Oryctolagus cuniculus: one gene and its partner. The protein of the gene in region 2 purifies or fractionates together with the protein of the main gene of each other region. This does not show direct contact. Links are inferred from orthologs where the notes say so. Each region holds a gene or a part of one and is shown on either strand. Other genes may lie near its edges. The genes, in order: CTCF and RPL26L1.

Region 1 (2,922 bases), on a different chromosome or scaffold from region 2:
GAGGGGTCTTCCATCCGATGTTTCACTCCCCAATTGGCCGCAATGGCAGGAGCTGCACCGATCCGAAGCCAGGAGCCAGGAGCTTCTTCTGGGTCTCCCACGTGGGTGCAGGGGCCCAAGCACTTGGGCCATCTTCTACTGCTTTCCCAGGCCATAGCAGAGAGCTGGATCAGAAGTGGAGCTGCTTGGTCTCGAACTGGTGCCTATATGGGATGCCAGTGCTTCAGGCCAGGGCGTTAACCTACTGCGCCACAGCACCAGCCCCTTAATTATTTTTTGAATGTTCTCCCTGAGCTCCAAGAATAGAGTTCTGTCAGAGAAAAGGAGGTTAAGTGCAGATCTTAGAAGCAGCTCTCCGGTTTCTTCTGCACACACTGGAGTGAGCAGACAGGTGGGAGGGCCTGGGTGTGGGAGAACTACAGAATCAGAAATGTCCGCTTGTCGTAGGTGTGTCACCTACGTCACACACTCTTCAAGTAGCCTTAGTCACATGCTGTCTCATTTCTTGCCTGCATCTCATAGTATCAATTTCTGACTTAAAACTAAGGATTTTTACGTGTAACTTGGGAGGCGTGTGAACGTGAATGTCAGCCTTTTGTGCTCTGATGGTTTTCAGAGAACTGGGACTCTGTGTGTCCATGTTCTGGGTCTCTCTAAGTCTCTGCTTTATTGACTTTCTCCGTGTCACTACTAAGGCTCCCTGTATGTTGCTATCCCGTGGACTGCACTGTGTAACAGGGTCTTGTACTCCTGGGGGCTTTAATGTACCTTTTGTTTTGTTTTGTTTTGTGCTCCTCTTTGCCAGCAACAGCCATCATCCAAGTTGAAGACCAGAATACAGGTGCAATTGAGAACATTATAGTGGAGGTAAAAAAAGAGCCAGACGCCGAACCCACGGAGGGTGAGGAGGAGGAGGCCCAGCCAGCTGCCACAGATGCCCCCAACGGCGACCTCACGCCTGAGATGATCCTCAGCATGATGGACCGGTGATGGTGGGGCCTTGCTGGGCGCCGGGACTGCTCTGGGCTGTGTTTAAACGGCCCACATCTTAATTTTTTTCCCTTTTTTCTTCTTTTGGCTTTGGGAAAAGCATCATTTTTACACCATTTTACCAAACAAACTGAGAACGAAAACTTCAAGGATGATGTTAGAAAAATGTGATTTAACTAGAACTTGCTGTTTGATGTTAACAAATCATGGAATGTCTGAGTCCCTGCGGGTTTACTGTGAAGTGCTGAGGGCAGTGTTGACGCCTGACTGGTTTCTGAGACGGAAACAGAGACATTGGCCCCTCTCTCTCAATACGGTAAACCACTCCAGAATGGCTGCCGGGTTTCCCAGAGTTCTCTGGTCTTCTTCCCAAGAGAGTTTTTAATTGTAAATGCAGACTTGGGGAGGCCTTAGACTTTTAACCTGTTTTTTGCTTTTGCTTTTTCTCTGACTCCTTGCTCGAGTCAGCTGCACACCAGTAGTACGGCATGCTACGATCGGTTACTGTCCTGAACGCTTTGCCTCTTTCTTGGCAGAGTTTCTGGTATGGTCAAGCTTGTAAATAACTTTTTTTACATTTTAATCTTTTCCATTAATTAAGAGGTTGAAAAGAAGTGCAGTGTGAGAAAACCCAGCATTTTAATTACTTGCAAATTAAGTTGCCACAGACTTGGTAGTGTGGAATTATTAAAGGAATTGGATCACAATCATGTAGCAGATCGGCACCCAGCCTGCCGCCCGCTAGTGACGAGCCTCCACATGGAAGATCATGATTTCCAGCCCATGGAGCCAGCATTTGAACTTTGTACAATTAACCTTCAGTTATGATTTCCCATTGACATTTTCTTTGCTATGTTTAGCAGAATGTTGCGTTTTACGAATCCCCTGTCAGAGCCAGAGGGTGACTATGAGTGGGTCACAGCAGTCCTGACATGCTGGGCCAGAAATTTTCACTAGGTCAGTAATTTAAACTTTGGATCTTCAAAAACAAATAATAATGTGAAACAAAACCAACTAAAAAATGATTGTTGCACATGAACTGTCACACGTTGAAAATGTGTTTTTTAGAGAGCCTCAGTCTTGCTGATTTCAAACACTTTTTTTCTTCTGTGTATTGCTTTTTAAGAGAGCCATCAGTTAGCTATCAGACTCTAGGTTGATGCATTTTGTACTTAGCTGTACTGTGTGATATTTTTCATTATTTTAGGATGCCAACACGAGACCTGTAATAAAATATGTAATGGGGTTGAAAGCTGGGGAGGAGGATCTACTGCTGTACAGCTAATAAATCATAACGGATTAACAAGTGCTCCGAGGACTCTTGTCTTGTGTGATTCCTGCCTGCTGGCCCCCCGAGGGGCTGGCGCAGAGCTCCAGGCCGTGCCGGCCTCCGCATCTTAGAGGCAGGCTGTGTTCCTGGGATAGTGCTTCCTCTCGGGCAGAAGGAGAGGATCTTATCTTGGAGGATGTCAGGATTGTGAGTGCATCCTGCTGCACATTTAACTCCGCAAAAATGGGTGTGAGGAGAGCATCAAGTGGATGGGCAGTGGCCGGCCTCCGTGGTCCGCCCGAGGAGCGGGTGCCCGCTGCACAGAGCTGTGGAGTTGTAGTTGATGGGAAGCCCTGTCTTAGGATCTTGGCTCAGGGAGGCTGGGACCACTACCTGGGGCTTAGCCAGGTACAGGGGAACAGGAGAAGCTGGGCCCAACCTGCCAGAAGTCCATTTGAAGCGGGAGACACCAGGATTGTACAGGGGCTACTGGTCAGCGCCACGATGATGGACGGGGACTTGGGTCGTGTTAGGAAGCTCAGGCTTCAGCTTGAAGGCATCGTGTAGCTGCTGGCTGTTTCCAGATGGATCGCTTTGGCAGTGTTGGGTTTTCTTAAATTCTTACTATTTACTCGAAAGGCAGAAACAGATCTTCATCCAAT
Region 2 (4,331 bases):
CAGAAGATGGCCCAAGTGCTTAGGCCCCTGCTCCTGTGTGGGAGACCTGGAAGAAGCTCCTGGCTCCTGGCTTCACGTTGGCTCAGCATCAGCCATTGTGGCCATTTGGAAATCATAGGATGGAAGACTTCTCCCTTTGTCTCTCCCTCTCTGACTCTGCCTCTCAAATAAATAAATGATCTTAAAAACAAACAAACAAACAAACAAAAAAAAACAGGCAGACTTGGGGCAGAGGAGGGTCCTTAAGGATTCTGCAGACACATTATGGGGCGTGTGCTGTGGCGTAGTGCCTGTGGCACCAGCATCCCATATGGGCTCCCATCCTTGCCCCTGCTGCTCCACTTCCTGTCCCGCTCCCAGATAATGGCCTGGGAAAGCAACAGAAGATGGCCCAAGTCCTTGGGCCCCCGCATTCAACATGAGAGACCCGAAAGAAGCTCCTGGCTCCTGGCTTCAGCCTTGCCCAGCTTCGGCCACTGTGGCCATTTGAGGAGTGAACCATCAGATGGAAGACCTACCTCTCTCTATAACTCTTTCAAATGAATAAAAATAAATCTTAAAAAAAAAAAAAAAAAAAAAGCGTGTGCAAGTGAGTTAGTAAATGAATGCGGGAACAGAGAGGGAGCCAGTGAGAGGCGGCGCTTGCAGGGAGTGCACATGCTCTGTAAGAGCTGCCCTGGGGCGGACCTTGGTCCCCTTCTGTGTGCCCTTGGTCTTGCCCGCCTCTGCCCCTGCACTGTTAAAGGTTAAGTGACTTCTTCTTTCCTCATCACAGGCCCCCCCCCCCCCCCCCCCGCAGCCCCAGTAACCTCCCTACTCCTGGATCAGGGCACGCACACTGGGTGGCATTGGGGTTGCTGTTGCCTCAACTACTGTAAGGGCAGGCAAACAGCCCAGGAGTGGCCATCCTCCAGAGGTCTCCAAGGCTGGCTGCAGAGGATCTAGGGCAAAACCTGAAGTAGGATCCAGATGGTGCTGGGATCCACACTGATGCCTTGTGATCCTGCCTACCAGTACATACTGGCGTTTAACCATTTCACCACCAGTAATAAACTGAGAGTGTGGCTGAGGGATGTGGGGCAAGACATCACCCTCTCTGAATTCCAGGGTCTCCTTCCATCAACTCATGTGCAGCGTCTGGCACAAGGCAGTCGTCCAATAGATCCAGGACCAATGAATGAATGAATGGGAGGGTTAGCGGTAATGAGCGAATAAGACCTTGCACAGAATAAGCCTTTTGGAGGCCCAGAGCCCTTCCCTGTCTCCCGGCCTTTGCGGTGCCCAGGAAGGGGACCTCCCGTGTGGTGGTCCACGCGTGCAGGCTCGCCAGGGCCGCAGATGTCTCAGCCTGTCCAGCCGCCAGGTGGCGCCCGCACCTCCCGCAGAATGGGAGGTGCAGGCCGGGAGGTGGGCGGCAGGACGCGGAGACGCGCGCGGCTCGGTCGCAGCAGGTGCGGCCAGGCGGAGAGGGGCGGAGCGGCGGCAGCAAGTCCAGCGGAGCACTCCGAAGCGGAGCACCCGGCACCCGAGTTGGTCCTTTTGGTAGAAAAAGGCTGATTGGTTGATTGATTTGACACAGGGAGAGGGCGAGGCGTGGGGCAGAGAAGATCTTCCCTCCACTGGGTCACTCCCCAGATGGCCACAACAGCCAGGGCTGGGCCGGGCAGGGGCTCTGTGCGGGTCTCCCCCGTGGGCGCAGGGATCCGACGACTTGGGGCCGTCCTCCGCTGCCTTCCCAGGCCATCAGCAGGGAGCAAGCAGCACGGCGTCCTGGGGCGCGGGCTTCTGGCTCACCTGCTGCACCAGCACACCCGCCTCGGTGATCGTTCCCGCAGCTACTGTAGAGGTATCACGCGTGATCTCTAGCCGCGCGGCAGAGTGCACGTGTGGGTATCAGACACAGAGAACTAACAGGAATTGATGATAAAGGTAGCCCGAGGGTAGGCACCGTGGAAAGCGGGGGCCTCTGATGTTTGACTGGGGCTGAGCGCCGCGTGCCAGGCTCGGCTGTGCCCACGCGGCATGGATGAGCTCATGTAGTCCTCGTGGCACCCCTGCGCGGCGCCTCCTGGGCCCGCCGCCATTTACAGAGGAGAAAACGTGGAGGCGTTCTCCTGAGGTCGGCCTGGGTGGCCCCTGCCCTTCACAACAGGGAGAAACCAGCAAACACAAGGGAGTTTTTGCAAAGTCCAGTGTTTGGTGCACAGCGATCCTCGAATTCTAGTGCACCACAAAATCCTCCGTGGATGGAAGAGTGACCCAGACCCACCATTGTCTGGTTCTGCACGACTTGTGATGGGGCCCGAAAGTCTGCATTTTAAATATGTTGCCTAAGACGCCAGTCCGCAGGCTGCAGGGGCATAGGGAGAGTATGGGGCAGGTGACGAACTCCCGACGGTGTGCCTGTTAAAGGAACCCCCGTGAGCCCCCATCGCGGACCCTAGGAAAACAGGCGCTTGTCTCCAGAGGCGCCACCTCTTGGGATTCCCGGCTTGAGGCCGCGCCGGGCTCTCCCGCCCCGGGGAACGAGATGCTGCAATCCCACCCCGGGCCGCAGGGGGCGCCCGTCTGCTTGCTTCCAACGGGAAGGGTGCTTCTCGGTATCTTTCTGCGCTTGCGCGGCCAGGGAGCCCTACTTCCGGTACTGCGCGCGCAAGTCCTGAACGTGTTCGGTACCAAGGAGGTAAGTAGGAGTGTTTTGTGTGCAGCCCCTTCTCTCCGCGTGACCTTCAGCTAAGCATTCTCCCAGCCCAAGCGTCCCTCCCTCAGCCGCTCCCCGCGACCCCTTTGGTCAGGCATGCGCCCCCGACTCAAGTCTTCCTATGTATGGTCCAGACCACGCGCACACCCAACTCTGCGTCCTCCGTCCGCTTCCTCCGTGCCGGTGTCTGCCCCTAGAGCACTTGGGCGGGGACGAGGAGGGGCGTCTCGGATGGGGAAGAGGCCGCCGAAGCCCACCGCGCGCGCCCTCGCTCCCCTTGTCGCCGCCCTCCGCAGACCGTCACCATGAAGTTCAATCCCTTCGTGACCTCGGACCGCAGCAAGAACCGCAAACGCCACTTCAACGCGCCGTCGCACGTGCGCAGGAAGATCATGTCGTCCCCGCTGTCCAAGGAGCTGCGGCAGAAGTACAACGTCCGCTCCATGCCCATCCGCAAGGACGACGAGGTCCAGGTGCGTGTTCCCCGGCTGCGGGGCGCCTGGGCACGAGAGCGTGGTGCGTGCCCGCCGGGGGAGGGGGCTGCAGCCTGTCCCGCCCTGGGCGAGCTGTGTGACGCTGCAGGTGGCGCTAGGGCAAAGGCGGGGCCCACAGCCACCGGGCCGTGCCTGCCCCTCGATAATCAGAACAAGATGGGGTGCTGTCGGCCCTTTGATTGGGCCGCAGGGCTGCTGGTTTGCCAGGGGTGCTCAGGGTGGCTGGTCGAGCTAGGCTTTGCAGGCCCAAGTGCTGCTGTGAGTTCACCGGAAGTGATGGACAGGCATTTGGGGGGAGCGTCGGATGGTGCTGGATTTAGCAGGGGACACAGAGGAGCACGGCAGAGGTGCAAACATTTGGGAAGTTTGGGAAAGTAAAAGCCCTCTGTTGCCTGTGACTGGCACGGACCCTGAGTGGGAGCAGAAGTGACAGAGGAGAGTGAACTGGCCTCTACGGGCTATTTTTGCCTGCTGACCTGATGTTGTTCTGGAAGCTAGCGGTGAACAAGGTTGTCGAGGCTCGTGTTGTGGGATCGCGTTTTAGAGCAGGTGTCTTGACCTCAGCACGGTTGGCCTCTGGGCCCAGATCATTGGTGTGGGAGAGCTGCCCTGGGGAGCATCGCTGGCCAGTCCCCACTTGCAGTCCCCCTCTTCACAACTGTGACAAACTGTGACTCCAGATATTGTCAGACGTCCCCCGGGGGTACGGTGAACTCCCCCCTGAGGTTAGTGGGGCTTGGGGTATGTCAGGCAGTGGACTCTGAGGGCTGAGGGATGTGTTCGAGGAAGAGACTGGAGCACACTAGAATACGGCATGGAGGAAGGGAAAGCAGGGGTGGCTGGAGTATGAGCAGTAGTTGGTGCTCCTGTCTCTCCTTCCCAGCAGACACGTTCTAGAAGGGGGGACCTGCGGCTGACTGCTGGGGCTAGGCAGACAAGCTCAGTAAGGGAAGTGGGCCGCTGCTGAGAATGTGGGGAGTTCTTGCCTCACTTGCGGAGACAGGCTTGTGCCTCCAGCCCTCTGCCAGAGAGAAATCCGGGCTGTTGTCAGATTCTTTTGTTTTGCAAGGGCACAGGAAAAATGAGATTCTCTTCCCCGGCCCCACTTTGTGTTGCCCGTGAAGAGCCAGGGAAGA

What was found.
Region 1: the proteins of RPL26L1 (region 2) and CTCF purify together in Homo sapiens (affinity purification with mass spectrometry; 3 studies listed by BioGRID and IntAct, with this or other methods). This does not show direct contact. The link is inferred for Oryctolagus cuniculus from reciprocal best matches to the Homo sapiens genes RPL26L1 and CTCF.

The regions. Positions count from the first base shown.
Region 1 is NC_091449.1:50,881,835-50,884,756, forward strand, and holds the end of CTCF (transcriptional repressor CTCF), read left to right. Parts: intron 1-805; coding exon 806-990; 3' UTR 991-2,300; downstream 2,301-2,922.
Region 2 is NC_091437.1:59,494,585-59,498,915, forward strand, and holds the start of RPL26L1 (ribosomal protein uL24-like), read left to right. Parts: upstream 1-1,371; 5' UTR 1,372-2,530; coding exon 2,531-2,683; intron 2,684-2,997; coding exon 2,998-3,174; intron 3,175-4,331.